Struthio camelus: one gene and its partner. The protein of the gene in region 1 interacts with the protein of each later gene in a pairwise test. Links are inferred from orthologs where the notes say so. Each region holds a gene or a part of one and is shown in the gene's direction. Other genes may lie near its edges. The genes, in order: ID1 and MYF5.

Region 1 (14,191 bases):
GGGACCGAGAGGAGTCCTGGCACCTCCACCAGGCCTGGAAACCCCGGAGAGGGGGAAGGCAGAACCTACGCACTTGGGCTGCCCCTGCTCCTCCCTGCGCGTCGTGCTGGGGCCGGGTGCTGCGGGGCCGGGGCAGCCCCAGGGGCCGCTGAGCCCTGCCCGGGGCTGGCCGTCCCCGCCATTCTGCAGCACCGCGCCGTCGCCCCTGCCCGCCCTCTGGGCAGGCGCGCGGAGGAGCCCGCGTCTCTCCACCCGTGCCCGCTGCCAGAATAAATAGAAAGTGTTTGCTGGTTTGGCAGTCCCTCCACAAAAGCCGTATTGAACTATTATTCCCCATGTCGGCTGCGAGCACTAAAAGTGGCGCCTCGCGTTCTGCCATCTAATGACCCTTCGCAGTCTCCTACAGATGTTTTCTATGACTTACAGCTCCTTTTCCAACAGCCCTGTCCGCAAAAACAAGAGAGGCCACTTTAATTCCAATTAAATACCTCCAGCTAAGCAAACAGAGTGCAGCAGGGCCTGGGCACGGCGCGGCCGACAGGCCCGGCCCACGGAGTCGCTGAGTCTAGACTCCAGATGTGCTTCCACCAGCCTCGAGTGTCCCATGGAAAAAGACACGGGCTGCATGGCGGAGCAGCCGGCCGCTGGGCACGGCAGGGCGTCGCGCAGAGCAGACGTGGGGACGTCCCGCGTGGCCCCAGCGCTGCGGTGGGTGGCTGGCGGGGCGCCCCGGCTCCGGCCCCTCTTGCAGCAGGGTGCAGGGATGCTCCGTCGCCGCTCGCTCTGCCCCGAGGCTGCCGGGGAGCCCCACGTTTGCAGCCGCGGTGGGCTCCCGCGGGGCAGGGATGGCGCGGGTGGACGCGGCCGAGCTCCGGCCTGCGGCGCTGCCTCCGGAGAGCCGGAGCGTGGGGTCGCGCGTGGTACCTCAGGCTCTGCCGAGCTTTGCCCCGAGCGCCCCCCTCCCGTGTCCTCGCTCCCCGCTCTGCCGCTGCCCGGGCCGGCCTGCGCTCCCGCAGAGCTCTGGGCCGCTCGTGACAGTGGTGCGTGCGGCGAGAGTGCAGCTGCGAGCCAGGAGCTTCCTGAGGGCCCTTGGCCCTGTTGCGAGGAGCGGAAAGCTCCGGGAGGGCAGAGCGGGGTCACCCGCACCCTGGGCGCCCGGTCCCTGCCCGGCCCGATAAGCGGGGACAGGGCAGGGCGCGGAGGAAGGAAGCGCGGCGGCCCCGGCAGGAGCCGTCAGCGGAGGCTCCCCCGGGCGGCGCTGGGGGCCGCGCGCCTCGGCCGGCTCCGGGCTCGCGCCTCCGCACCTGGGCCGAGCGCGGCGCCTGGCTCCGCTCTGTCTGGGCGGCTGCTGGGCCACCTTCCCCCTCGCCGCGGGGTCCCTCCGGCTGCCGCGGCCGAGGAAGCGTGCCGGCTCCGGCAGGAAGCCTCCGCGGGGCCCGGCTGCCGCAGGGGTGGGGGCTGCTGTGGCCTCGGGGCCGATGGCCTCCTGCCCTGCGCCTCGGGGCGGCGACGTGGGCAGGCAGCCGGGGACCCCCAGGCTCGCGCCCCTCGCGCCCGGGGCTGCACCAGGGCTTTCCCACGGGGGCCCCTTCCCGCGCCGCTGGGCATCTCCCCCGGGGCGCCCGAGCCGTCCCAGCCGCCGGGGCCGGGGCCGCTGGCGGCATCGTGTGCCGTGGGCCGGGCGCGGAGGTCCGCCGTGCCCCCGCGCTGGGCGCTTGGCCCGAGCCGGCGGCCAGGCTGCTGCCCCGGCGGGCGGTTCTGGGGCAGCAGGGAGGGCAACGCGGCAGCCCCGGCGCCTGGGGCAGGGCTCGGGGGATGGCCGAGCGGGCCCGTGCCGTCGCCCCGTCCCCGTCCCCTCCTCTGCCCCGGCCCCGGCGGCTCCGGCTCGGGGGCAGGCGGGCGGCGGGTGCTGGGTGCAGGCCGGCGGCACCCGGCCCGCCTGGCGCGCGGCTGCGAGCGGGGAGAGGAAGCAGCCGCCAGCAGCCCCAGCCCGCGGCTGCCGGCGAGGAGGGGCAGGAAGCTGGAATAAATCCCAGGAAGGGCCGCTCGGCTCCAGCTGGTCTGGGCTGGAGCGGATGGAGCCGGGGACGGGAAGGCAGGAGGAGGGAGGGGAACGCGCAGGGGCTTTCTCAGGCCTCGGCCCTGCTCCAGCTGCGCGGCAGGAGCCGCCGGCCCCGCTCGCATCTGCGGCACCGCTCGCCCGCCGGCCCTGCGGCGCCCGGGGCCGAGGCCGGGGCTTCCCCGGCGCCCCGCTGCGCCCGGCCGGGCCGAGGGCGGCAGGACGAGCCCGAGCCTGGGCCAGAGCCGGGGCAGGGGCCGCGCCGGGCGGCCGGGGCGCGCTGCCCTCCCCGAGCGCCCGGCCTTTGCTGCGGGCGGCTGCCGGGCAACCTCTGCGCCGCGCAAAGCAGCCGCGACGTGCCGGGCCGGGCCGGGCCGGCGGCTCAGCCGCGTGCCAGCGCCATATGGCCGAGCCGGTGTTACCGCGCCGCCCGCCCCGTTCCCAGAATTGACATGGAAATGAAGCTATCCGTCTTGCTGGCCGACGCGGCCGGCCCGGCCGCCTTTCCCGCGGCCAGCGCGCCCGCCCCGGCCTCGCCACCACCTCTCGGATTTTCCCTGCGGCCGGCACGGCGCAGAGGAAGGGCCCTCGGCCGCCGCCGCCCCGGAGCAGCCGGCCCCGGGAGCGGGACGGGGGCCGGAGCAGCCGCCGTGGCCCCTGCGGCTCGGTGCTCCCTGCGCGCGGGCCCGGCCGGAGCGGCGCGCCGGGGCGGCCGCCAGCCCGGGGGCCGGGCTTGACCTTTCGGCCTCGGGGCCCCGAGCTTTGACATCTGGCTAATTCGCGCCGAGCGGCCGGCGGGGGATCTGAGGCGGCCGGAGGCGGCGAGCGGGGCCGGCGGCGGCGGCGCATTGTTGGCGGCGCAGCTGCGGGCGGCGGCGCTGAAAGGCATTCCTGCACACAATGTCCCGCGCGCCTCCGTGCGCGGGGGCCGCCGCCGCCAGATGGGGGCTAATTAGCGGCTTTGATTGCCTCTGTGGGAACCGGCCAGGCACCAGGCTCTCCGCGGGGCCCTGAATGGAGGGGGCGACCCCAGGGCTGTGCCCACCCTGGGAACCGCCACCGCCGGCGCCACCGCGGGCGGGGGGGCGCGGGGACAGAGGGAGGGCGAGGTGAAGGGATGCAGGGACAGATGGGTGCAGGGACAGAGGGATGCAGGGACAGAGGGATGCAGGGAGGGGGGCATAGAGGGCGAGAGAGGTGAAGGGATGCAGGGAGAGAGGGATGCAGGGATGCAGGGACAAGGATGCAAGGACAAAGGGATAGAGGGATGGACGGAGGGGGCATGGAGGGCAGGACAGATGCAGGGATGGAGGGACAGAGGGATGGAGGGATGTGGTCCCCCCAGATGGCCCGGCACAGGCTGAGCCAGAGACCGCAGGGTTTATGCAACCCAGAGGTTATGCACCCCGCGCTGGGGCCCTGCGTGCCCCGTGCCGGAGCGTTGCGCGCCCCGCGCCCTTGCAGCTTGCTCCCGCGCCGCTGCCGCTGCAGTGCCCTGCTGCGGCCGCGGCGAGCCCGGGTGACGAGGGCCCCGGGTGGCGAGCCGCGGGGCAGGGGCGCGCAGGCTGGCACCGCGCTGTCCGGGCGCCCCAGCCCCGCGCCGGCTTTGTTCGCCGCAGAGGCCGTCGCTGCTTCCTGCTGCCGCTAACAAAGCTGCGGCGCAGCCGGCCCCGCGGCCCCACGCGGGCAGGGGCAGGGGAGCTGCTCCCGCTCGCCCGGCACACGCGGGCACGCCACGGGGGGGGGGGGGGGGGAGTGTGTGTGCACGTGTGTGTGTGCGCACCGCTGGATTTGTGCATGTGCGTGAATGTGTGTGCGCGTGCACACGTTTGTGCGTGGCCGTGCACCAGGGCGCCTGGGCGCGCAGGCGTGTGCGCGTGCCTCGGCGTGTGCATCCGGGCGCGTGTACAGGGCACAAGGGCTGCCACTTTGCCTGGAGATTTTTCAGTTGCTTTCGCGCTGTTTCATGCCGTTTGGGGGTGGAGAGGGGCCGGGGGGGGCCTCTGCAGCACGGCTGGGGGGAAGACTGGGGCGGCTGCGCCAGGCGGCCCCGGCTGCCCGCTCGGCGCGCCGACAGCCCTGCGAGCAGCCACGGTGCGCGAGCGGCGTGGAGCCGGCCGGGCGGCAGGCGGGGGCCGGGACCCCGCGGGGGCTGCTGCGCGATGCGCGGCTGGCGAGGCTGCGGTCCAGGGCGCCGCTGCCTCCTGCCCCGGCCCCGTCATTCCTGTCTAGCCGAGACCCTGGATGAACCTCCCTACAGGTGCGAAGATAAGGTAACGATCATTAATGCTAATTAATGCTTGGATCGGAAGCCCTTTAGGGCAGGGACTGGTTTTCTGTTCCGTCTTACGCTGTGCCTTGCACGAGAGGCTGCAGCTGCGCAGATGCTACCTCCTCGCCCGGCCTGGCCTCCTGCCGGCCCCGCACCGCCCGTGCCGCGCGCCGCCGTCGGCCTGCCCCGCACGAGTCGCCTTTGCCGGGGGCTCAGCCCCGGGCACAGCCGCCGCGGCCCCGCGGCTCAGCAGGCGGCACGCGGCGGGGCCTGGGCACCAGCGCCCCACGGGGCCACCCGCCTGGGGCGGCAGAGCTGCGCCCAAGCGCTGGCGGGGCCCCAGCTGCCAGGTGACTCCCACGCTCTGGGGCAAGGAGGCACCCTGCGCCGGGAGGGCAGCGCTGCCCTGCACCTGCAGCCTGCACCGAGCGAGCGTGGCACAGCCCTGGCATGGCACGGCACGGCTGTGGGCACAGCATAGCCCCAGGCGCAGCACAGCCCCAGGGATGGCCATAGGCATGGCTCGGCTGTGGCATGGCACAGCACAGCCATGGGTACGGCACAGCCCCGGGCATGGCACAGCCCTGGGCACGGCCATGGGCACAGCACGGCCATGGGTAGGACACAGCTCCGGGCACGGCACGGCCCTGGGCACGGCCATGGGCACAGTACAGCCATGGGCACGGCACAGCCCCGGGCACGGCACAGCCCTGGGCACGGCCATGGGCACAGCACGGCCATGGGTACGGCACAGCCCCGGGCATGGCACAGCTCTGGGCACAGCCACGGGCACAGCACGGCCATGGGCACGACACAGCCCCGGGCACGGCACAGCCCTGGGCACGGCCATGGGCACAGCACGGCCATGGGTACCGCACAGCTCCGGGCACGGCACGGCCCTGGGCACGGTATGGCGCAGCCATGGCACGGTGCCGCACGGCCCCGGGCACGGCACGGCCACGCAGGACGGCGTAGCGGACCTCCCGCCCCAGCTCCGCGTTTGCAGCCGCTGCACAAAGATGGGTCGGGGGAGCGGGGGCGCCCCCCGGCACCCAGCCGGGCCCGGCACGGCCCCGCGGCGGCTCCCGCTGAACCCGGGGCCGGGAGCGCTGCGGGGGGGCCCGAGCCCCGCCGCCCGCCGCGCCCCGCCCCCGTCGCCATGGGCACCGCCCGCGAGGCGCCGCGCTGACAGCGCGCGGGGTTTTATGAATGGGTGACGTCACGGCCCTGGCGTCTAACGGTCTGAGCCGCCGGGGAGGCGGGGGGGCCGCAAGGGGCGAGCTGGGCTGCGGGGGGCCCGGGAGGGGTGCGGGGGCTGGGGAGTGCAGGGGACCCTGGGGCTGGGGAGAGATATGGGGTACAGGGGCCGGAGTGCAGGGGGCGGGGAATGCAGGGACCTGGGGGCTGCAGTGCATCCGGGGTGCAGGGCCAGGGGTGCAGGGGCTCTCCCGGGGCTGGGGAGAGCCATGGGGTGCAGGGGCCAGAGTGCAGGGGGTGGGGAATGCAGGGACCTGGGGGATGCAGTGGGTCGGGGATGCAGGAGTTGGGGGGTGCAGGGGACCTCGGTGCTGGGGAGAGCCATGGGCTGCAGGGACTGAGTGCAGGGGGCCGTGGGTGCAGGGAGCTGGGGCTGCAGGGGGCCTGGGGGATGTTGGCCCTGGTGGGTGCAGGGCCCCGGGGGCTGGGGAGAGCCATGGGCTGCAGGGGCCGGGGGGGTAGGGATTGGGGAATACAGGGACCTGGGGGATGCAGTGGGTCGGGGGTGCAGGGGACCTCGGTGCTGGGGAGAGCCATGGGCTGCAGAGGGCCCGGGGGCTGCAGCGGGCCTGGGGGGCTGAAGGAGGGCGAGCTGGGCTCTGGGCCCGGGGTGGTGCAGGGGTCCGCGGGCTGGAGGGGCCCAGCTGGAGAGGAGCCCAGGGGGGTCTCAGGGTCCCGGGGGCGGCCGTAGTAGGCTGTAGCCGGGCGTTTGGAGGCACCTCTGCCGCAGCAGCTCTGCTACCAGGGCCGAGCTCCAGGAACGCAGAGTAACTCAGCCCCATGAACGGGGGGCCAGGGCCCGGGGCCCGTGGCGGGGAAAGGTGTCCGCGCAGGCGGTGCGCCCCAGTGCTCCGTGCCCCGGTGGCCCCCGGTGACCCCCGGGCAGCGGCCCGACCTTCCCCCCCCCGCCCCCCCGCCAAGCCTCTACCCGCTCCTCCCCGGGGCAGCGCCACTGTCTCTTTAACACAGTCCCCTTCAGGGCTCATGAATGGGGGGGGGGGCGGGGCAGGCCCCGCCCTGCGGCGCTCCTATTGGCCACAGCCCGGCCCCGCGGCCCCGCCCCCGGCCGCAGCGCTCTATAAGTGGCGCGGCGCGGGGCGGCGGGAGTGCAGCGCTTCGCTCCGCGCCCGCAGGGTCCTGCTGCCGCCGGTCGCTGCCCGCCGCTCCATGAAGGTCGCCAGCGCCGCCCCCTCGCCGCTGCCCGCGGGCGCCGGCGGCGCGCTGAAGGCGGTGCGGCCCGGGGAGGCCGCGCGGTGCGGGCCGGGCCCGGGGGCGGCGACCGCCGCGGCCCCGGGGGCGGCGGAGCAAGCGGCGGCCGCCGCCGCGCTGCTCTACGACATGAAGGGCTGCTACTCGCGGCTGCGGGCGCTGGTGCCCACGCTGCCGCGGCACCGGCGCGTCTCCAAGGTGGAGATCCTGCAGCACGTTATCGACTACATCTGGGACCTGCAGCTGGCGCTGCAGCGGGGGCCGCCCTGCGCCGCCGCCCCCGGCGGGGACCCCCCCGAGGTGAGTGCGGCCCCGGCTCCGCTCCCCTTCCCGGTCGCTTTCACACCCCTCTCGCTCCGGGTGAACCCGCCGGGCCCCCCAGCGCCGCCGCCGTCCTCCCCGGCGGGTTGCACCTCCCTGTGGGCGCCCCTTCCACCTGCGGCAGCTCAGCAGCCCCCAGCCGGGGCCGCTCTCCCCTGCCGCCCTGCTCCCCCGGGGCTCCCGAAGCCAGCACTGACCGGCCCCCTGTCGCCCTTCCCGCAGGCTCCGTGCATGCCCGCTGCGGACCGGATCCTGTGCCGCTGAGACCTGCTCCGGACCTGCCAGGACCCGGCCCGGGCCCGGAGGGGGTGGCAGCCCGCGCCCCCCGCCGTGGGACTGTGCCGAGGGCGGCCCCGCGGCACGTATCCTTCTCAGATTGCTGAGAGCATTCCCTGTATTGTATATTACAATGATGCTGGAGAATATTGTTCTACAATAGTTGGAGTTTTGTTATTAAACAAGCCCTGGTTACGAGGCACGCTTCTCTCTTCTGGCCCTGTCCGCCCACGGAGCGCGAAGGCGGTGGGAGCCCTTCGTGGGCAGGGTGCCCCGTGGGGTGTGGGAGCCCTGGGGTCTGGGAAGCAGCCCAGCTCTGCTGATCCCCTGCCTGGATACTGCCCTGTACCCCCACCCCACCCCGTTCCCCTGTGTCTGTGCCCCTTGGGGCTGCAGATGGGGGGATGCTGCTGGGGTTTCTCCCCTTGGCCCTGTGGGCAGGCACACCCTGCATGTTGGTGGGAGGGGGCCAGGTCTGGGGCTTTGCCCCCCCACCTGGGTGCCTCTGGGGCTGGCCCTGCACCCTGGGCGTCCCTGTGCCCTCCCTGATGAGCCCTGTGGTGCTGGTGCAGCCAGGTGCCAGCCCAGACTGGCTTCCCCAGGGCTGGTGCTGCCCCATGGCGTGTGCCGAGCAGCATGGGCCTGGCCTTGCACAATTTCCCAGCTGGGCCAGTGCAGTGGTTCAGTGACTCGTGCAAAGTCACTGTGAGTCACTGCCTTTTGGCCCAGCTGGGAGGCTTGTGGCTATGGGGGGGGGGCCCAGCTGTGTGGGGCAGCCCCTCGCATACTCCCTGGTGAGAGTGCCCGCAAGGCCTGGGGTGCTGCTCGCTCTGGGAACACTGGTGTTGCCTCTGTGCTTCCCGCTTGCCCTTTTGCAGCCCTGGGGAGGGGAGCAGGAACCCACATCAGCAGTGGGTTGTGCAATCCCGTGACGGCTGCAGGGTGCCTTGGTGGTGGCGACAGCGCTGGCCTCCTGCCCCAGCACCATGCAGGGCTGAGCTCCCTCCCTGGGAGCGGATGTGACCGGTCGGTCCTCTGGGTCCGGAAGGGCAGCTGAGGGCACCCGCTGCCCCGGCCCGGGGCAGGAGGCTGCTCTCGGCTGCAAGAGCCCTGGCCCCGCTGGATGGGGAGGGCAGCTGGTGGGGCAGTCTCTGCCCCCCTGGGCTGCGTCCAGGCCTCGGCTGAGTGGTGTGGATGGATGCATCTCTATTCTCCCCGTGCCCCCTTTGTGCCCAACCCTGGGCTGCCTCCGAGCCCTCTGTGCTGTGGCAGGGAGACGCCGCGGCCAGGCCCGGCGTGCATGGCCTGGAGCGTGTCCCTGCTGGCACGGAAGGGGTGACACAGCCCTTGCTGCAGCTGTGTGCACACCTGCACCTGTGTGCTGTGTTTGCATGCTCACAAGGGTTTGCGCATGGCTGCAAGTGTGTGTGTGCGTGCATGTTCGCAGGTGTCTGTATGTGAGTCAGTCCCTCAGCATCCCCTCCCAGACAGGGCAGCTGGAGGCCAGGTACCTCGGGGAACGGGGACGTCCCTGCCCTGGCCATGAGGCAGCAGCGGGTGAGCTGCGGGGCCACGGGTCCTGCTCTGCGTGGCAGAGCCCAGGCTGGGCCAGAGATGCTTTGCTGTCCTGGGTGACCCTCCCTGTGCTTCTGTCCCCAACCTGCCCAGGCTGGAGCCCTTCCTATGGGGATGGGGAGGCTGGCAGTGCCCCCAGTCTCAGCTCCTGCCCGCTCCTCTAGATTAAAGCAAAAACTGTCTGAATTAGTAACACCAAAATGTGCAGAGCCCCCGGGTCCTGCTGGTGGTCGGTGCTGCCCCTGCTGCGATGCAGCCGCTCCTGGGGGGGGACAAGCAGGACTGAGTACCCTGGTCCCTACTGCGGCCGGGCCTGGGGGGGATGGAGCAGGGGCTACTGCAGACCTGGGGCTCTGCTTGGGTGCTGTTGGAGGGGTGGGATGCTGCCTTCCCCTCTGGAGTCCTGCCATCCCCCCTGCCCCCGGCAGCCCCGGCCCCTGTTGGCCCTGGGCCGGCTGTGGCAGGCGGCAGGAGTGCGGTCCCCGTTCCTGGCCCGCGGGGTCCCTCTCCCGGTGCCTGCTCGGACTGCGCGGCTGCCCGGCCCAGCCAGGATGGGCCTCCAGGGGCTGGGACTGGGCTGGGCTCCAGGCTCCAGTGGCTGGGGTGGGCTCCTGGGGGCCAGGGGCTGGTGGGGCTCCTGAGGGTGGGAAGGGCTCCCAGGGCACCAAAGGACTGGAGGTGGGATGGGGCACCGAGGCATCAGGAGGCTGGTGGGGGCTCCTGGGGGTCATGGGGCACCAGGGGACCGGGGGCTGGCAGGGCTCCTGGGGCTGGGCTGGGTACCGCAGAGGCTGTGCTGGGGCTGCTGCAGCGACCCCCTTCTCATGGGGCCGTGTAGGGGCAGAGCCACCTCGGGCCCCCCCAGCCCCGCCGCCCCGGCCAGGGCTGCGCTGGCACAACGGCTCCAGGCGCTGGCAGCCTCTCCGGGGTGCTGGGCCGGGCTCCGGCTCCCAATGGCCGGCGGCAGGGGAAGGCGAGTGTCGCCTTCGAGGCCCCGCACGATTGCAGCCGCTTCATGTGTTGGTAAAGCCGTGGCGGCTCAGCGAGGTGCGGCGAGCACGTGTTCCTGGCTCCGAGGCCACTGCTCCAGCGGCCGCGGTGCCGCTGCAGGGCTCTGCCCGCTGCCGAAGGACGCGGCAGCCCCGTCCCAACGACCCGGCCGTGGCAGCGAGGGCAGCAGGAGGGTGACCGGGGTCGAGCCCGTGCTAGCTGCAGTAAGAGCCACGCGGCCGGCGGGATGCTCGTGGCCCCACTGGGCGCAGGCAGCCGGTGTCCAGGGCTGTGCTGGGGTGCTGGGGCCCTGCTCGAGGTGCTGGGGCCCTGCTCCATGCCATGGCAGAGGCCACATCCACGCCTTGCTCGCAGGTGCCTTCCTCTCCTCCCCGCTCCAGCCGCTCGTTCGCAGCCGGCCAAGGTGGAAGGTGGCAAACGGAGCTGCTGGAGGAAGTCTCCGTGGTGGTGACGTGTCTGCCGCCCCACGTCGCTGCTCCAGCCCGGCAGCCGCGTGCCAGGATGCCGGATGCGGCCACGGGGGGATCTGCCGGGCAGCCCCAGGGAGCGGCCGGCCCCGGCGGGCACCCGCTCGCCAGCAGGTCCTTGCTGCTGTTGCTGCGACAGGGACTTGACTCATCCCGGAAGGGATTAGGGACAGGGGGAGCTGGGTGACATCCCAGTCCGACCAGCCTGTCCGCCGCCGGGATGGACGTCGTCGCCAGAGCAGGTCCCTGCTGCTCGCTGCCACCAGCAGCCCCGGGGGAGACGGCTGAGGCGGGCACCGCGACGGGACCCGCGTCACCCCCGGCCCGGGGCACCGGGCTCGCCTGCCGCAGTGAGGCTCGCCCGAGCGCCGGGGCGCCCCGGGGGCAGCTCGGGCCCTGGGGGGCCAGGCCGGGGCATGGGGCTGGCCGTGGGGACGCTGCCGGGCACTGTGGGTGTCCCCACGGCCGTGGCTGGTGGCGCCGGGGGTGCTGAGTCCTGCTTCCGAGGGAGCGGCGCGGGCCCCGTCTCCTCGGCGTGGGGCTGGGCCGGCGGGGGGTCCCGGGCGCTGCCGGGGTGCCGGCTCGGGCTGAGCGCGGGTGCCAAGCGCTGGCTGCAGCCGCCCGCCCTGCTGCGGGGGTGGCCCGTGCCACCACGGCAGCCTGTGCCACGTCGGCAGCCCGTGCCAGGACGGCGGCCGGGCTGTCCCCACGCCAGGTGCTGGCAGGCAGCCGGGTCCCCGTTCCCACCGCCCGGGGGGGACGGTTGGACGGTCCCGCACAGGATCCCCCGGGGCCCTTCCCGAAGCAGGAGCCGCCTCTGCTCCCGGCCGCGACCGGCCGGAGCGCGTTCCCGCGGAGCGGCCCCGGGGTGCTGCGGGGCGGCACGGCCCGGGCCAGCGCGCTGCCTCCGCGGCGGAGCGGCTGCCGTCGGGGCGGCCGGAGCCCGGCGGGGACACGCCAGCCGGGGCGCGCGCCCCGCACCCTCCCGCTCGGGCTGCCACAGCGCGGGGGCCAGCGTGCCCTGGCGCCCGCAGCCGCGCCGGGCTCCCTCCCCTCACCGCGGACCGCCAGCCGTGGGCTCGTGGCTGCGATGGGCACCGGCGCTGACCCCGTGTCCTCGTGTCGCCATGGGGCACCTCTTGGGGAGCAGCCTGCCACGTCCCCGGGGCTGAGCCTGGTGGGAGCACCCTGCACCAGCTGGGCTGAGCATGCACCCGCACCTGCACCTGCACCCGCACCTACACCAGCACCCGCACCCGCACCCACACCTGCACCTACATCCACACCTGCACCCGCACCTGCACCTATACCCACACCTGCACCTGCACCCGCACCCGCACCCGCACGCCGGCTCGTGCTCCCCACGGGGCGACAGCGGCACGAAAGCAGAGAAGCAAACCGTGGAGGGCAGCGGCTGGTCCCTCCCCGCCCGGCGCCGCGGCTGCCCCGGCTCCCGGCAGCGCCGCGTGGGACCCCCCGGCGGCTCCGCTCCCAGGGCCGGACAGCGCGGGAACCGGCTTCCCCTCTGAGTCACGCGTTGGGCAAGGGCGGGCTGTGGCCCCGGCACGTGCGGGAAGCGCCGGAGGAAGGCGCCCGCCGGGACGGCGGCGGGACTGTCCCCGCAGCCCCCCTGATGTCACCCGGGGCTCCCCGGCCCCGATATAAGTGGTGGCGGGGCGGGCGGCCGCGGCGGGCGCAGGAGGCGGTGAGGGCGTCGCGGTGCTCAGCACCCTGCTCTGCTCCAGCCGCCAGGCCCCGCCGCGCTCCAGCCATGGCCGGCCTCTCCCTGCTGCTGCTGCTGGCCGCCGGCTCGGCCCTGGCCGCCCCCAACCCCGGCCTCAAGGGCAGGGTGACCCGGCAGGCTCTGGACTACGGTGGGTCTGGCGCCCCGGGAGGGGGCCGCGGCGGGGTGCTGGCGGGGGCCGGCTGCGGGTCCTGCAGCGGCGGCGGCGGCGGCACCCCGCGGCCCCGGCCGTGCCCGACCGCGGCGCTCTGCCCCAGGCCGGCGCGTGGGGCTGGAGAGGCTGCGGGCGCTGCTGCAGAAGGAGCACGTGCTGAACGTGACGGGCTCGTACCGCCTGCCGCTGCTGGGCCAGCTCGCCTTCGCCGTGCCCCGGTAGGAGCCCGCGCCGGCCGGCCGCCCGCCGGGGCCCCCGCGGGTGCTGCGCCGGCCGGCGCCGAGCCCAGGCTCTCCGCCTCGGCAGGGTCCGCGTGCACGAGCTGCAGATCAACGACTCCGCCGTGGACTTCTCGGAGGACGTGGGCGTCAGGCTCACGGTCCGGCGAGCCCAAATCCGGCTGAGCGGCGACTGGGCGGCCGAGCTCTGGCCAGTGTGAGTCCCGGCGCGGCGGGGGGGCCGGCGGCACGGGCGGCCGGGCGCCCCCCGCTCACCGCTGCGCCCCGCAGCCGGGACGGCGGCGTCCTCGAGGTGCAGGCGGGCGACGTGGCCGTGTCGGCGGTGCTGGGGGTGAGCGCGGACGGCGGCGGCCACCCCGCCGTGCGGAGCGCCGGCTGCCACGCCAGCGTCGGCCACCTGCGCCTGGAGTTTCGCCACGGGCAGAGGTAACGGCGCGGCGCCCTCGGCCCCCGGGCACGTGGGGCCCCCCCCGGCGGTGCCCCGGGACCCTTTTGGGGCGCGCCGGGCTGAGGGCACCGCGCTGTCCCCGCAGCTGGCTCTACAACCTCCTGGCGCCGGCGCTGCAAGGACCCCTGCGCCTGGAGCTCGGCCAGCAGGTGAGCGCCGGGCACCGGCCATGGCGGCGGCGGCCCCGTCCCTCCGTGCGCGGCGGCCCCGGGCCCGTCCCCGCTCCGCGGGGCTCGCTGACGCCGGCTCTCCGCTTCCAGCTCTGCCTCGAGCTCCAGCGCGGCGTCGGCAGGCTGCAGGAGGCCCTGAAGGACGTGCGAGGTGGGGGGCGCCGGGGGCCGGGGGGGCTGCGAGGGGCCCGCGGGGGCTGCGCGACGGGGCCGGCGGCCCGGCTGGTCCCGACCTCGTGCCCGCCGCCCCGCAGTGTCCGCCCAGCTCGACCCCTTCGCCGCCATCGACTACTCGCTGCTGCGGAGGCCGGAGATCACCGCGGAGCACGCGGACGTCAGCGTCAAGGTAGCGGCGGCCGGGCAGCGGCGGGCTGCAGCGGGCGGCCAGGGCCGGGCTGGCCCCAACGCCGTGGCCGTCCACCTGCCCTCCATCCATCTGTCCATCTGTCCGTCCGCGCAGGGGGAGGTCTTCGGCGTGGGCTGGCACCGGCAGAGCCCCTTCTCGGCGGCGCCCGTGCTGCTGCCCGAGGCGCGGGCGCCCATGCTGCTCCTGGGCGTCACCGACTTCGTCGCCAACTCCGCCGCCTTCGTGTACTTCACGGCCGGCGCGCTGCGCTGGACCGTCACCGGCAGCACGGTACGGCCCCGGGGCCGGGGCTCGCGGCCGCCCTGCCCGCGCCGGCCCGGCTTCGCCCCAGCGGCCCCTTCCCCTCCGCCTGCCTTGCAGCTCCCGCGGCGCTTCCCGCTCCGGCTGCGGACCGACAGCCTGGGGCTCTTCTCCCCGCGGGTGAGCAGGGGCCGGGAGCCGTCCCCGCACCGGGCAGGACGGGACACGGGACGGTCGGGATGCAGGAGGGATGCAACGCAGGAGGGACGGGCCGCAGGCTCTCTGGACGGAGGCGGGATGCGACACGGGCTGGATGGGATGCGGGCCGGTCCAGACAGATGTGGGATGCGACACGGGCCGGTTGGGATGGCAGTGGGATGCA
Region 2 (16,280 bases), on another chromosome or scaffold:
TGAGAACAATCTCAATTTCTCTCTCTCATCCAAAAATGGATATTGTCTTACGTTATTAAGGCAGAAATAAGACTCAGTCCAACAGTACTGACTTGGTTAAAACAAAATCACAATTACTCTTTAACAATTTTGTATTCATAGCAAATTTAGTTTGCAATCACTTTTGGAGAATCAGTCAAGTTGATGATCAATTTCATTGCAGCTTTTGAGACTCATGTTTTTTACATAAGTAGAGAGCAATTACATGTGATTTAAGGAACACAAGACAGCCCAGGGAAAGAAGCAAACAGGTCATTTTCCCCTACCTTCTCTTTCTTGAGGTTAGAGAGGCCTACACCTGATCTGATGTTACTCTATAAGCTAACAGAGAGTGATCACAAGCTCCATTTCTGGCTGAAGGGCCAGGAAGCTGTGTGTCTTGCCAAGCCCAAGGGAGTAACGGGAGTTGGAACGGATGCCTGGGCATTGCTTGCCCTAGACACCTCCGAGGATAGGGGCTGTCTGGAGAGCCCCACCAGGCTGCAACCCAGTCACCTGGAATCACTTCTGTCACCTCAAGGGCAGCATGGGGAAGTTCAGTTTAAAGCCCTATGCCGAGATGCAAAACCATGAGTGCTTCAGCACTGCAGCGAGGCTCTGCCTTGGCAACCTTCCCCCTGTGCATGGAAGAACAGTGCGCTTGGCTTCTAACCTTGGGCTGGCCCGGGCAGCTTGGGTCACAGGAATGGCATGCTTTATGGTGGGGGGGGGGGGGGGGGCAGGAATAGCAAGGGCTTCTTCTGAAAATATTAAACCATCTATTTGGAGAGTCATGGCTGCCTTTGAAATCTCTCCTTATAGATCTATACTTAGCACTGGGACAAGGAGCGTGCGGGGTGTGTGCATGTGTGTGTGTGTGTGTGTGTGTGTGTGCGTGTGTGTGTGTGCGTGCGTGCGTGTGTGCGAGCGGGGCCGTGGCCGGGCTGGGGTGGGCTGGGGGAGGGTTCAGTCACAGCCCCGTGCCTTTGTCCTCTAGCCGTGCCCGCTCCACCACAGCTCTCCTCACCCCCACCTCGCACCCGTCTGCTCCAGCCTGAGCTCATGAGCTTTTGGTGGGGGAGGGGGGTTATTTTTCGTTTGTTTTCCTTTTTTTTTTTTTTACATTTGTTCCCCTCCCTTCCTGCTCCCCCCCCCCTCTAAATAGGAGATGTTCTCAGGACAGCGCCCAGGAGACTGGTTGGAATCAGATTTGGAGGGTGATGCACCGCGACAGCTAAAAGTTGGATAGGGTTTCAGCAGCTCCTATATAAAGCAGGGGGGACTTATGTCACTGCACTAATTAAATTCCATCTGGGTTGTTCCTCGGGGTGTTTTTGAGCCTGCCACCCAACTCAAGCAGGCAGAGAGGCCGAGGGGACAGCATGATGATGGACCTTTTTGAAACTGGCTCCTATTTCTTCTACTTGGACGGGGAGAATGGAGCCCTGCAGCAGCTGGAGATGGCAGAGGGCTCCCCCCTGTACCCGGGCAGCGAGGGCACCTTGTCCCCCTGTCAGGACCAAATGCCACCAGAGGCCGGCAGTGACAGCAGCGGAGAGGAGCATGTGCTGGCACCCCCGGGACTACAACCCCCTCACTGCCCCGGCCAGTGTTTGATCTGGGCTTGTAAAACTTGCAAGAGAAAGTCGGCCCCCACGGACAGGAGGAAAGCAGCCACCCTGCGGGAGAGGAGGAGGCTGAAGAAGATCAACGAAGCCTTCGAGGCTCTGAAAAGGCGGACTGTGGCGAACCCCAACCAGAGGCTGCCCAAGGTGGAGATCCTGAGGAGCGCCATCAGCTACATCGAGCGGCTGCAGGACCTCTTGCACAGGCTGGATCAGCAGGAGAAAATGCAGGAGATTGGGGGCGACCCCTTCAGCTTCAGCCCCAAGCAGGGAAATGTAAGCGCTGCCGGCTGGTTCCTCCCGCCGCCCTGACATCCAGCCGCGGCACCGCCGTCCCCTAACCCCCTCCCCTCGTCCTTAACACGGCCCCTGCGCCAGCCCGGGCTGCCGGGCAGACTAGCAGGCACGAAAGGGGCTCCTCGAAGACGGTGCTGCGAGCTGCTCGGCTCTCCAGCGGGCAGCCGCGACCCACTTGTCTAACACATGTCGTCTCCCTGTGTCTCTCCCTGCCCCGCTCCCTCCCCCCCCAACCCGCTGTGTTTACTTCAGATCCCCAGCTCAGACTTCCTGAGCACCTGCAGCTCCGAGTGGCAAAACGTTTCCGATCATTCCCGAGTGCTAGGAGTCAGCCCCAAAGAAGGTAACTCGCACAAACGCCGTCTCCGAGCCCAGCCGGCGCCCGAGCTGGCTAACGGCCGCCGGCGCCCGCCGCCCCCGCCCTCGCGCGCGCCGCGCCGTTACCCCCAACGGTCACAGCCCCTAACGGTCGCGGGCGGCTTCGGTCTCTCACCCTGCGGCGCTCCCGCTCTCCTGCCGGCTCCGCGCACCCGGAGAGGTGTCTAGCGAGGAGGAACCGTTTGCTCCGTAAACTCTTATTTTTCTTATTAAGCAGGGGGCTCCATCGTCGAGTCGTCGGCTTCCAGCAGCCTTCGCTGTCTCTCTTCCATAGTGGACAGTATCTCTTCCGACGAGCCCAAACTACCCAGCGTGGAGGAAGTGGTGGAGAAATAAATCCAGTCGGTCTGGTAGTATATTTAACGGAGAAGGAGCCCTCCCCTCCCCAACCTAAATAATGAATTAAGTTAATATAGTGGAAAGCCCAGGCAGGGGCCTTGTTAAGGTCGAGTCAAGGCACACTTTCCCCAAAGAAAATGGCCCTCACCGACTCGAACCATACAGACTTTTCCCCCTTTTCTTTCCCCTCTTTTTCTTTTTCCTGAGTTTTGTTTTCTCTAAACTTCATTGCATAGACCACCCCTCCTCCCTTTTTTATTTAAGATACTTACTTGTGTAGCGGTGATCCGCTTTGTCTGATTCTCACCGAAAAGTTCATTCCTATCTGAGTGAAGCTGTTGGTTGCATTTCGTGTTAGCCCGTATTTAAAGAGTTCCCGCCTCGTTTCATTTCTGTAAATAATTTTAGTACTGTCTTTTCTTTTGTAAACATGACAAATATATATTTAAATGATGGAATGTGATATTGTATATAAGAACAGACGGATTTCTTGGATTGTAAAATAAAGCTCTTTGTGTTACAGTGTTTCTCCCCCTCCCCGTAATTAAATAATAACCCGATCCTGGAGTTAAAATCTGCCACTGACTTCAGCGAGATCAAGCCCCGAAGATTCAGACCTTATGTAGCCGAGGCACAAAGCTGTGTGACTGGGAGGCTGCACTCAGGACAGATTTTCCTTCGTTTCCTCCTCTGGGGAGTGCCTCTCCTTGCCTAGGACCGCACCCTGCCCTGTTTTTCCCCCAGGAAGCAGGGCAGGCGTTTGGGGAGTGGTGGGGGGGTGCCCGGGAAGGAGCTGTGCACCCGCGGCGCCGGGGCGAGCGCCTGGAGGCGCGCTGCGCTCCGCGGGCCGTTTCCCTGCGGTGCTTGGTGAAACGCGCCTCCGCGCCGCGGACGGCTTTATTATTGCTCCCCTCAAACGTCCGACAACGCCACTTGCTTAGCTCGCCAGGACGCTTCTCCCGCCTTGTCCAGAGCTTTATTTTATCTGATCTGCACATGCTGCAGGGGAAAGGGGAAAGCCCAAGCACAGCCCCAGTCCTTGAGAAGCGGCTCGGCCTCCCGGGTTTTAATTTATCGCCTTCCCTCTGATCTTCTCAGCGCGTCTCACCTTTTCCTTTCGGCGCCGGAGGACTTGAACCCAGGCCCTGTCTGCAGCACAATTTATAGGCCTGCTACCTTAATGGGGCAGCGAAAGGCTCTGACAGGAGCCAGCTCCCTTGGGGGCTGGAGGGCTGTGACTTCTTCCGAGGAAAGGTAACTCCCCTTGACTTCCCTGAGCCTGAGGGAAAAGAGAACGGGGTCCCTCAGGGAGGAAAGAGTTAAGTGGCCGAAAGGGGGGTGGGGTGGGGGGCCCAACATATGAAGCCTTTCACTCAGTGATGTAAAAAAACACAAGGCTCTCTGAGGATGGTGGAGCGGGAGCTACGCACAGTCAGAACTTTACGGCTTGTAACAGATTGTTTATAATCCCAGGAAGGGGCGACCACCAGGAACTAACACACTCTTCGTTACACACACACACACACACACACGGGGGCTCTCCAGACGAGCTGACAAAAGCAAAGGGCTGCTACTTTAAATCTGCCCGTGGGCGCTCTCCTGGTCAACTTTAACCCTTGATTTATTTTTTGTTTTTGTTTTTTGAAGGGTCACAGCCACGTTTCTGGAAGGTCTCACCCTTCTCGGCCGGCACTGGCACGGGTACGTCTGTCGGAAAGGGAAGCTCTTGAAAGAGACCTTCCTTGAGCTGTCTCTCTCGCGGTGCCGTCCTTTCGCCCTTCTCGTGCGCCGTGGCCCGCTTGGTTTTTAAACCGGTTAAGTAATTGTTCTAACTGCTCTCTGCTGGGATATTCTGTTGTAAGGACTAATTGCGGCGACATAGTGTGATGGGCATGTAGCGAGAGGACGTGGAGACAGTTTTTCCCCCTTTTCTGGCTTGAAATAAACCCTTTTCCTTAGGGCACCCGCGGGCTATTCGGAAAGCGGCGCTTCGGGGAACTCCGATTTTTGCATGCAATCTCTGAATTTTGGCGAAAGAGCGAAGCTGTTATCAAGGAGAGGCTTCTGTAATCAAGGGGTTTGATTAGGAATGGAAAATTTCGAATCGGTTTCGTAGCCGATCGCCTTCCTTAATAACTTGTTTCGATTCTCACTCGATTAAGGAGAAGGGCTACCATACAGTTCACTACGTCTCGGGCAAAATCCCACTGAAAGAAAACCCGTAGGATCCACTTTCCACAGCAAGAACTGTGTTGAAGCACCTTCGAAAATACAGTATCACGCAAACACCCCGCCTGCTGTTAGATTTATCCTCATGCGGGCAATTAACCTCAACAAACTGCCCCGTCGTCCCGGTCGGACCCCCACGGCAGCGTCGCCCTCAGCAGCAGAGTAACTTGAGCGATTGTTTGGAGTAAGTTTGACTAACGAAGGTTTTTCATTAAATAAAGAAAATACCTCCCGAAGAGACTCTCCGTGACCCCCGCGGCTGCGGCCGACATGCCGAGCTTCCCAGCGAAGGTCCTCACTGTGTTTGCAGTTAAAATGTTTGTGTTTGATATTAATAACGATAATCTTTACCTAAGCCCAAAGCCAAAGCAAACAGGGCCCTGAAATCACACAATCAAAGGATAATAACTGGGTAAGGACAAGAGGTTTGTGATTTAATCCAGTTTTTTTCCAGAAGGGCCACGAACAAAGTTATCAAACTTTAGATGAATACAAAAACGTTCCCCCCCACACCCCCTTCTCTCTGCAGTGTATTTATCACGAAACAAGCCATCTGGAGCACTACTCCAGAAAAGCCTGTGCCAAAGGCTCGCCTCTCCGCGCCGCCCTGGGGAGCCACCTGCTCGCCGCCGCCGCGAGAGGCGGGAGGTGCGCGGCTGAACCGCCCTCGGGGGCTGCGCTGGCCCCTCTGTGCCCCCGGGAGAAGCAACCGGCGGAGACGGTGTATTTGCGTGGCCACTCGGTTTTGTTACTGCTCTCCTCCGAAACGACGCCGAAACGTCCGTGTTTTAAAGCCCAATTTTTATTTTGCATCTGCGTTTCCCTCTGTAAAACTGTCTGCAAAGCGAAGAGGGAGGGGGGCGGCCGGCCGGCAGCGGGCTCAGCTTATTTTCCGAGCTCGAAGGCAACCCGGACAGGCTTCAACCCAACAGCTATTTCCCGCAGGGAAAAAATACTGCTTGGGTCGTTGCTGGGTTGAGGGACCCGTACGCTTTTTCCAGAGCTTTCACCTTTCTGTGGAAAATGAGCTGGTTTCCAGACGGGGGGAATAGGAGTGGGGGGCAGGGGAGGGAAGAGGTTGAATAATTGAACCATGTGCTCTCTGGGACGTCCCTTCGATAGCAGGAACTAGCAACTTTTCCCAGTCTCAAGGCTGCTAAAAACCCCCTCGTGTCCCTTTGATCTCTCTTGGGAGTCCCAGAATGCCAGCAGAGGCCAATGCCTTCTTCAGCTGTCTTCTATACAAATCCCCCTGGCAGGTACTAATGTGTTTACTTAGGTGTGCACGGTTCCCAGCGCTGGGGGAAACCAAACGTTTTTCTCACACGGCTCCACACGGGCCCGACTGGGAAACAGCCCGAGAGCGAAGCGGGAGCCTCTCGCCGCAGCCTCTGGCCGCCCGCCGGCTGCCGGGCCGTGCCCCGCCGCGGCTCGGGCCCCCGCACGCAGCAGCGCTTGGCTGCAGCGCTCGTCTTGCTTCTTAAATGACAGCCACCCCTAAAAACCGCCCTCGGTGCTGGTCGCTGTTCCGCACTTGGAAATCGCTCTGGCAAAGCCAGGGAGGGGAAATCTCCCGGTCTGGGGGAGCTGCGCATCCCTCACCTTGCTCTTAACAGACGCGAGGTGCAAAGCCGAGGCGCCCCCCGCCCTCGCTTGCTTATTTTTATTTTTTGTTTCCGTGGAGTTTTCTTTGTTAAGAGCGAAACTCACAGGGTTTGAGAAAGGAGTGCAAGCTCTGCAAAGGATCCGCACAGGGGGATTGAGTCCCTTCAGAAATAGCTGCAGCCGAGCGATTGCTGCGGGCGGGGGCGGGGGGGGGGACGACACACGACCATTTGAAGAGGTCCTGCCACGTTCACTATTTCACTCTTCCTCCCTGCTTGTCCACGGGAACCAGCAGTGTCCAGTGCTCAGGCCGTTCTCGCTTTCCGGACTTCAGCCTCCGGAGACCCGAAGTGCCGCACCATCTCCCCCCCCCCCCCGCCCCCGCCCCTTGCAACCAGCAGCCTCATTAGCCAGCCTTGTAGTTTGTGTTTTCTCACCCCTTTCTTTAGTTCCACTCGCCTGCTGCACTTCTGCAAATTTGTTTTGAGATCACTTTACCAGAGGAGCTAGGCTCTCTTAAGGGATACTAATTACAGACCTTTTTTTTTTTTTTCCCTGAGTGACAGGCTGTTCCATCCTTTCTTCCCCCTCCCCCAAATATTCAAGGGAAAGAGAAACAAATTTTCTTAGGTCCTCAAAGACTTTGGGGAAAAGGCACGTTTCTCAACAACCCCAGCCCGTCTGGATTAAGAATTAAAGCTGCGAGCTAAAACTGCACATGCAAGACGAGCAAGAGCAAGGGGACTGGCAATGTGCACCCGAAGATACACAGGGCTTGGAGAGAAACGACTGAACGGTGATGGCACTTTACAGCACTTTAAAGATCAAGTTTTATTTGTGCACAAAGCCGAAATCTGTAAACAGGTCTATTTTAGCCAGCGCAAACGCGGTCAATCAAAAGGTGTGTGGTGCGTGTGTATGTGTGTGCGTGCCCGCACAGCCCGGCGAAGAGTTCAAGTTACTGCCGAGCAGACCCGCTTCCTTTGCCCGGCGGTTTCTGGGGGAAACAATAGGGAACTGCCTTGTTTCAGACGTGGCCCAACTGCACACCAACCTGCACCTCGGAGCGGCGGAAGGCTGGAATTCTGCGCCTTCCCCTTGCTGTAACTTTACTCCTTTATCAACTTTCTGCTTTTCCTACAGTATTCATTTCAAAGGGGGCTCCCCTCGTTTATGGCCCCAAATAAACCGAAGCAGTGCAGATGTAGCCTTCCCAAGCCTTTAGATAATTATGCATCCGCTCTTAGGAAGAAGGGTGTACGTGTGTGCGTGCCTGCAGTTTTCTTTAGGAAAAGTTTTAGCCCTTCGGGCTAAAATCCGCCTCCTTCGGGGCAGGGGCGCTGGGACGGGGACTAGCGGACAGGCCCGGCCCGGGGACCCTTTCCCGGCCAAGGCAGCTCTCCAGTGCGCTGCTCACTTGAAGCTCCATAAGACAACTGGATCGAAACGTCCCCTATATTGCCTCTTCCTTGGGAGAGGCTAATTGAAGACACTTTTTTCCTGGGTACGCAGACCAGGTCCCTAGCGTTTGAATCACTGTTGGGTCACTTGCTCTCGGTTTGAGTTAACCCAGGTAACATAATTTTATTCCCAGGTAGGGAAGGTCGCCTTTGCCCTCTCATAATATTTTCCTCAACTACAAAAGCCACCTGGATGAAACCAAAGGATTCCTGCGCGTTAGCAAATGCCTGTTAAATGGCTTCATTACCACTCTAATGACCCTTGCACAGCTCCGCTGAGCTACTGCTGCGGCTGGATCTCTGCAAAGCTTTTGTCCCTGACTTGTGTAAAGTTACTTAGGGATTGCGGGGTTAGAAATTTTACACTTCCAGGAGGGGTTTGTTGCACTGGCAGCTGGGACGCATCTGTAACGGTACAAGTTTGCCTGCAAGCAGAAAATTAGCAAGCCCAAGGCACTGCTCGACTGTTGTGTCTCTAAGCAGCACCAGGTCACACGAGTAGGAGAAAGAATGGGAAGGGGATTTGCCTAGGACCAAACTCGCACACTTTTCTTTTGTGAGTACCTTTCCGTGTGACCCGAGCCGAGAGCACTAAAACCTGACCTGCGTCCCCACCACCACCACCACCTTGTGACACGTAGCTGTGCATTTCTGTCCTCCAGTCTGTCAATTTAAACGTTTGATGACAAAACTTTAATTGCAAGACAAAGCACTCCCTAAGATAAACGACAAAATACTAGGTCTGAAAAAAGGGGTAAATTGTTTCAGGCTAGAACTGGACAACGAGCTCTGGGGCATAAAGACACCACAGTCGCAGTGCAGGAACTATGGGAGGCTCTATGTTAACACCTTAGCAGGGACAGCCGGTGTCCTCGCATCGCGGCATAGGATGGGAGACGATGACAAACCTACTATGAAAGGAGCGGGAGGAAATGTCAGCGGTTCGTCTGCTTTTATTACCTCCCTTTCTCTTTTCGTACCAAAATTGCCAGCTTTCCGCCTTGGTTTAAACTTCGGACGTGTCGCAACCAGCCTTGCAGAGGTTGTGCGCTAGAAACGTGCCCAGCGCAGCCGGCTGCCCAAAGGAGCGGTGCAGAGCAAATTGTCTCCTGGGGACTGCAGGGGGTTTGCCCAGACGGCCCCCGGCAGGGGATGTGGTGGGATATGCTAATAGAGAGTGGCCGCTGTGGACCAGCCTCCCTTAACATGTATATATAAGGGCCCCCCGCATCAGCCAAAGGACACTTCGTCTCGGGTCGCTAATTACTGAGGAAATTGCCCCGGCGAGCTGCAGAGCGACTCGCCGAGAGCCGGCGGCTGCCCCCGCCTCTGCCCCCCGCCCGCCCGCCGCCGCCGCCGCCGCGATGGAGGTGATGGACAGCTGCCACTTCTCCCCGGCCGAGCTCTTCTATGACAGCTCCTGCCTCTCCTCCCCGGAGGGCGACTTCGCCGAGGATTTCGAGCCGCGGGACCTGCCCGCCTTCGCAGCCCACCCGCCCGCCGAGCCAGCCGGCTCCGAGGAAGAGGAGCACGTCCGAGCTCCCACCGGCCACCACCAGGCCGGCCACTGCCTCATGTGGGCTTGCAAAGCCTGCAAGAGAAAATCCACCACCATGGACCGGCGGAAGGCGGCCACCATGAGGGAGAGGAGGAGGTTGAAGAAAGTGAACCAGGCGTTTGAGACCCTGAAGCGCTGCACCACGGCCAACCCCAACCAAAGACTCCCCAAAGTAGAGATCCTGCGAAACGCCATCAGATACATCGAGAGCCTCCAGGAGCTCTTAAGGGAACAGGTAGAAAACTACTACCACCTGCCAGGACAGAGCTGCTCCGAGCCCACAAGCCCCACTTCCAGCTGCTCGGACGGGATGGTAAGAGAGGGGCTGGGTGGTGGGGCCGCAGGGGGGTCCCCCTGGCCAGGGCCGGAGGGCAGGTCCCAGGGGGCTGCGACGGGCTGAATGCAGCAAGGCCAGAAAAATGGGGATGCGATTGGTTAAAACAGGCCCCTTCCCGGATTTAGCACGTTCACTTGGGCTGCTGGGCGTGCTCGGGGTTACGCGCAGGCCTTGCTAGAGGGCACCCAGCCAGCGCCCCGCGGGCTCCTCCGCCTCCCCTCCAGCTTAGTGCCGAGCAGCAGCGGGGCAGTGCGTGGGGCGGGGGGGGGGGGGGGGGGGGGCCGAGGGCAGAGAGGAGCCCCAGAGAGGGGGACCGGGGAGATAGGACCAGCCCGGCCAAGCCTTGCCGAGGGGCTGTTGTCCCAAGTCTTCTGCGGGCGCCGCGGCTCGCTCCGGGCCGGGCTGCGATGCGCTTTCACTCCGGGGGCGCCCCTCACCGCAGCGGCGCGGCCTCACCGTGCCCCGCTGCCCCAGGGGCGGCCGGACCGGGCCGGGCCAGGCCGGGCAGTGCCGGGCAATGCCCACTCGCTGTGTTGCAGGCTGAATGCAGCAGCCCCGGCTGGTCCGCGAGAGGCAGCAGCTTCGACACGGTCTATTGCTCCGAAATGGCCCACGGTAAGCCCGGACCCCGACCCCCCTCCCCCGGCCCCAACCATCCCCCCCCCAGCACCCCGGCTGCAGCGGCGCTGGGGGCGAAAGGGCGAGCGGCGGCCCCGGGGCGGGCAGCGGCGGAGCCCGCTATAACGCGCCGCCTCCTGCGTGCCCAGGTTACGCGGCGGAGCAGAGCAGCGCCCTGTCCAGCCTGGACTGCCTCTCCAGCATCGTGGACCGCCTCTCCCCGGCCGAGCAGCAGCCCCTCCGCGACGCCGCCTCCCCCTCGCCCAGCGCCGGCCTCGACTCGGGGCCGGGGACGCCCGGGACGCCGCCGCCCCGACGGACCTACCAGGCGTTATGAGGGGCCGAGGGGGGCCGGCAGCCCGCGCCCGCCCCCCGCCGCCCCTGCCCTGCCGCGGGGGCTGCCCCAGCGGCCGCTGCCACCCCCTCGCCGTGGTTTTCTTGCAAACGTTTCTCGGCGCAGCTGGGGAGCAGCAGCGCGGCCGTCGGGGCTGGGGGCAGCGCGCCCCGCCGGGTCCCGGCCCGGGTTCCCCCCAGAGCGGCACCCGCGGGCTTCTCCGGCAACCCCGCTGCAAATAAAACCTGTTGCAACAGAGCTGCTTCGCCTGGTGGTTCTTTAAAAACGGCCCCTGGTTTTGTTTTCGGGAGGGCAGCAAAGCCCGGTTGGTGACCCCCCTCCCCCCCCGGCTCTGGGCGGTGCTGGGGGGAGAGGTGTAACGTCTTGCGGGGCTGCGGCCTGCGAGCTCATTTCTCCCGTCACTAGTGGGTTTTACTCTGAGGTTGCTCATGGAGGAGCAAAAATTTGCGGGGTCAAATTCTCCCTCCCGTTCCTCTGCTGCTGTGGGCGGAGTTTCCTTTGGCGTCTGAAGGAGTAAAAATGATGTCTTGCAGTCGTCTTTTTTTCTTAGCAAAGCCTTTGTTCCTTCCAGTGGGCATGAACGCTGAACAGGTACTTCAAGATTTGGCCCTGAAATTGCATGATGGCTCTCCAGTGTCAGTCAACTGCGTGATCTCGCTCTGATACTCCACAGGGGAATTTTGCTCTCTGTTACTCTCACTGCTCTCACAGAGCCAAATTTAGTAGAGTTAGTAAGAACAAACCGCAAATATCTCTTTCACAATCCACAAGGTACATCTCACAATGTTCAGAAAGTAATATAGATGTATTTGCTCCTAATGCCTTTGGTCCCACCAGTAAGGATGAAAGTTCATGACTCATTTGTTAATGTTTGCAGTCACATGGGTCTAGAAATAGCCAGGTCAAGTCTTCACGAGTTAACAAATATTTCCTTCCAGGCACTATATCTAACTCTTTCTACCACGAAAAATGTCCAGCCCTTTGTTCTTCTCCAGTTGTAATCCAAAACTTTTCTAGCCCCCACTAAAGAGAAAGAGAAGAGAGGGAGAGATGGGTTCCTTCAGGGCATCCAGGAATGTCTTCTATGATAAATACTCCAAGTGGGAAGGGATATACACTTCACTAGCGTGGGATAAGGGCATATTTGCCATTTGTGTTTATGTTGTTAGCAATGGGTGGCCAAGAGGCCTGGAAGCGGTATTTCATCTCTGATAAATCTTTCACTTGAGCGCAGCCCAGCTTAGTCATGTCACCAAAAGTTGCCACCTGACCGCTCTTTGGCAGCGACCCCAAAATGTGGATGCAGAGAGTCTCGCTGGGGGACGGCCCAGCCCTCCCAGCACACCGGCGGGACGGGCTACTCCCCCCAGGAGCCCACAGGAAAGTGACCTGCCTGCTGGGCTCAGCTGTGCTGGGGCAGCTGTACTTTTGACAGAGGGCAAGGCCAACACTTCCTTGCAAATCACCTTATGCCCTTGCTATGTAATCTTGAGGTAAGTGTTTTCCTTCCTGCAGAGTAACCCGGGACAAGCTTTTTCCAGAATAGTTTTTTCTGTGTGTATGCACAGGTCCCAAACAGCCATCAAGTAGAAAAAGTGCTTTGAAACGCCTGGATTCTGCAGAGCTACAAACAAGATATTAGCACATTGCTGTCATTGCAGACGCTTCAGGAGCATGCAAGTGCCTTGACTCAAACAGACTTTCTTGGCTACGGACGATTACTTCCGGAGCCTCCTGTTCATAGAAACCCTTACGCAAAGCCTGGAAGAGCTCTGGGTTTAGTCATGAGCTCGTGCATGGCTACATTGCTGCAGTAATCACTCCTCCCAAACAAAATACTGTCTCAAGGGTACTGTTTACAGCCAGCATCTAATACGACGCAGATCATTTTAAATGATGGTTTAAAATGAGCTAAGTTGGAGAACTTTCTGCATTTCAATCTGCACAGTGCTGACCTTGGCAAGCGACCTCCTGTGAAGTATGCAGAGCAGCACCAGCAAATCACATGCTGGTAATGGACACCTCTCTTTGGCTGGCAGACATTTTAAGAGTTGCAAAAAGGTCAATACTTTTGAGAACTAGCTTGTCAGCGAGTGAGCGAGTAGAAGTATCCAGTCTGTGGGATGTTTGTCCGTAGCCTCCTCAGCCGCTCTAGACTAGATTACAATCCGAGGGCAATTTTTTATGCGTCAAGAAAACCAGCTCTTAATTATAGGACATCTATAAACAAAGCTCCTGCAAAACGAAATTTGCTGTAATCTGTGGCTATCTGAAGTGAAAAAGAGGTGGAAGACTACTTACGGACCCCATCTTTAGCCTGTGGATTGGGAAGAACAAAGCGTAAAATTACTGCTATTTTGGGAGATGCGCTGTTGTGGTCAGCTTCTGCATATTCAGAAATAATTGGAACTGAAAAGAAGGGTTTGGCTTCTAGGCAGATCACATTCACTTAAAGAGGGTTATGCCCCACAAATGTGTAAGAAGATGATGGTCTGGAAAACCTGAGCTCCAGCTCTCTCTAAACTCTTAATAGCTGGCTTAATATTAATGACACGCAGGGATGTTGCACGCTATCAAGTGGGTGAAGCGATGCCTCACAGTGTCAGATCAATGTAACACAGACCACTTTCTCCTTTGCCTGAAGTTTCCTATCTATCACTCGCTGCAGTGAAGAATTGACTCTGTACATTTTTTCACATAAAATTCATATTATATTTCAATTTTACCTCTGAAAAATATACTTTCTTGGCTTATGTTCTGAATGAAGGAAGCAGCTGCCCTTATTTTTCTGTGAAGAGCCTATTTTATATTTCATTGAGAAGCCGAGCAGAAATCTGCAGTGACATAAATTCTTTAGTCTTGGATCAGAAGATCCATCAGCAGTTACAAAACTGACATAGGAACCTAGCAAAAACCTCTTAAATACAACGTCAGGAATATGTCTACTCAAGGAATTAAGAGCCCTAAGGCACAGCAAATCCTCACATGCATTCATGGTGCATTTCAGAGGAAGCTTTCCTCACACAAGATTATGGATAGTTATGTCCAAAAAAGTGATGCTTTCTGGAACTGCCTTGCTAGCATCAGAAAAGATGCAAAGCTGGTCTTTAGGCTGAATGCTAGGAAACTGTGCCTTGAAGGGCCTGTATTTTCATGCCTTAATATACGCTTGCATATTTCTGGAAGATTTTTCCATATGATGCTCACGTTACTTGTGTGTACATGACTGATAATGTGTATGCGTTTTTTTTTTTTTTTACTTAATTTTTCAGCTGTAGTGTTTGTGTGAGAGCATGCCTACTCTCCATCTGACACTTGTTTTTTTTAGGAGTGTCTTCCCTTCTGAGGTGTGTGCCTATATATTTAGGATAATCTGCCGTGCGCATCCCTGTGTGCTACAGTGAGCACTTGCAGTGCTTCTTATAGTTAAGTTTGAAAAACAAATTCTACCCCAATATTTTTAGTCATTTATGTCTTTTTAAATGCTGATCATTTGAGTTCATATATTTCATGCTTGTTTCCAAATAGAAAAAACCCTGCTTGCTCCGCGGTTAGAGTTTTGAGTTGCTTGCGGGAAAACACATATTTTCCCTGGTAGGAAAAAGATCAATCTTCCTCTTCCAGGAGGAACAGTAATTCCTACTGTTTGCCAAAATTTACCTAGGTACATCTCAGATTCGTGGCTGCACTTGGGGGATAATTATCCTCCCAGTTCAACCATGTCGCTATTTCAGTGTCTCAGCCGCTCCAGCTTGGCGGGAGCGGTGAGACTTGGTGGCAGCAGGCAGCTCGTGTCTCCCCGCTCTCCTCTCCCTCCTCCTGCAGCGCCCTCGGCTCGTCCTCCCTTCCTCTCGCTCCTCGGGCCAGATCGGACGGTGGGGTCCCGCGGCGAGGACCTGCCGCTGCCCACGGGCTGCTGGCCAGCCTTCGGCAGCACCGCTGGGGTGGCAGCCTCACAGCTGGCCCCAGCTGGCCCCCAGGGAGCGTGGCTGGCTGGAGATGGGGCCAAGTCCGGCCCCTGTGCCGGGGCAGGGGAGTGAAAGAGAGACCGCAGAGCTGTTTTTCCTGTTTTTTAGTAATGTTTTCCCTCAGATAGTAGCTTAGGCTGCTGACTCTGAGCCGTGGCCTTCTTTTCCTTGCCTCCATGTCACTCTTTTCTGCCCATTCAGTCCAAAAGACATATTCATCCACCAGGCCAGGACTGGACTCAGAGAATTATTCCCATTATTCCCACCCACATGGTGATACATTTCCTTGGTTCAGCAGATACCCTGTTTTCCCACCTCCAGGAGCCTGTGCACCCTGGATGCCCACGGACCTCCTGCCAATCCCACTAAACCACAGAGCCCAGCTACTTTCTCAAAGATCCTTTGGTTTCTGCTCCTCACACCAGCTGCACATAGGGACCATCCAGCCCTGGCATTTGGCTTCCTTTTGCATGTCAGTAACATTTCCTGACTGCCTGATGACCTGCTGGAAGATACTGGTGGCTATGATGCCAAAGGTACTGCTCAGCTGCTCTTGAAGACAGTAATAGTCAGCATGATATGTGAGGGTCAGCCAGCCCAGTGATTGATCAGGAGGGTAGTTCAGTGTCTGCATTAAATCAAGTGCTCGTGAATTTGGTAGTCTCTGAGAGAGACTTCAAAGTTGGAGCAGGAACAGAAGAGGATAAACCCCATCATGCCTGAAAAGTATCAGTGCACATAGGTCTCCCTTGCTGCCTGCTTTCGTTCTTTATTCCTCCAGTCTTTTTCTAATAACATGTACTTCTGAACTGGTTTGATTTTTTTTTCTAAAAATTCCTATAGAATTTATCCCAAGAGAAAAATTTTAAGTCTTACAAAGAAGCCTTAAAAGCTTTGGCTCTGATTTTTATGTTTAAGTACCTAACTCCTACTGATCGCAGTAGGAGTCAGAAGCCCAGGAGGGACTCAGGTACCCAGCAAAAGTCTTTCCGGAGTATAAAAGTCAAGATAAGGTGCCTGTTACACAACCTAGGGAGCCAGAAGATGGATTAAATCAAGCCTATTGCTTTTAATTGTTTGATTGCACACAATTTATTAAACAATAAATATATAACTCCTTCATTAATGGTGAGCAAACAACGACGGTGAATATAACTTTAGTTAAACCTATGTATAGCTCAGTGCAAAGTAGTCATTAGCAAAAGCACCACTGCTCCATCAAAGGGTTCATTTTTTTTAGCTGGAAGTATTTGGATCTACCGAAAGCCTGTTCTGCTCCCCCCATTTCCCTGTTTTACTAAACCATATATGGAAAATGCTGTACTTTTTTTTTGCAAACATAAAAAAGAGGGGATTTGTTTGTTTTACTGTCCACATTGTAGTGCTTTGAAGAAACAGGAAATCAAACAGTAGTTCCAGTTTGAAAATACAATCGCTGCTTTGGAGCACCTTGAAATTGAGCTAATACTGCAGTTCTGCATCCTGATTGTCTG

Evidence for each region.
Region 2: the proteins of ID1 (region 1) and MYF5 interact in binary tests that used the Homo sapiens proteins (3 or more experiments, as listed by UniProt). The link is inferred for Struthio camelus from reciprocal best matches to the Homo sapiens genes ID1 and MYF5.

What each region holds. Positions count from the first base shown.
Region 1 is NC_090959.1:18,477,499-18,491,689, forward strand, and holds ID1 (DNA-binding protein inhibitor ID-1), read left to right. Parts: upstream 1-6,716; 5' UTR 6,717-6,755; coding exon 6,756-7,097; intron 7,098-7,340; coding exon 7,341-7,382; 3' UTR 7,383-7,594; downstream 7,595-14,191. Other genes in the region: bactericidal permeability-increasing protein-like, read left to right, coding at 12,219-12,321, 12,449-12,563, 12,652-12,780, 12,855-13,010, 13,118-13,181, 13,293-13,353, 13,457-13,548, 13,663-13,839 and 1 more. UniProt on the Homo sapiens protein: Transcriptional regulator (lacking a basic DNA binding domain) which negatively regulates the basic helix-loop-helix (bHLH) transcription factors by forming heterodimers and inhibiting their DNA binding and transcriptional activity.
Region 2 is NC_090942.1:45,728,888-45,745,167, forward strand, and holds MYF5 (myogenic factor 5), read left to right. Parts: upstream 1-9,200; 5' UTR 9,201-9,315; coding exon 9,316-9,822; intron 9,823-10,385; coding exon 10,386-10,461; intron 10,462-10,613; coding exon 10,614-10,801; 3' UTR 10,802-11,055; downstream 11,056-16,280. Other genes in the region: MYF6 (myogenic factor 6), read left to right, coding at 1,401-1,919, 2,193-2,283, 2,533-2,654.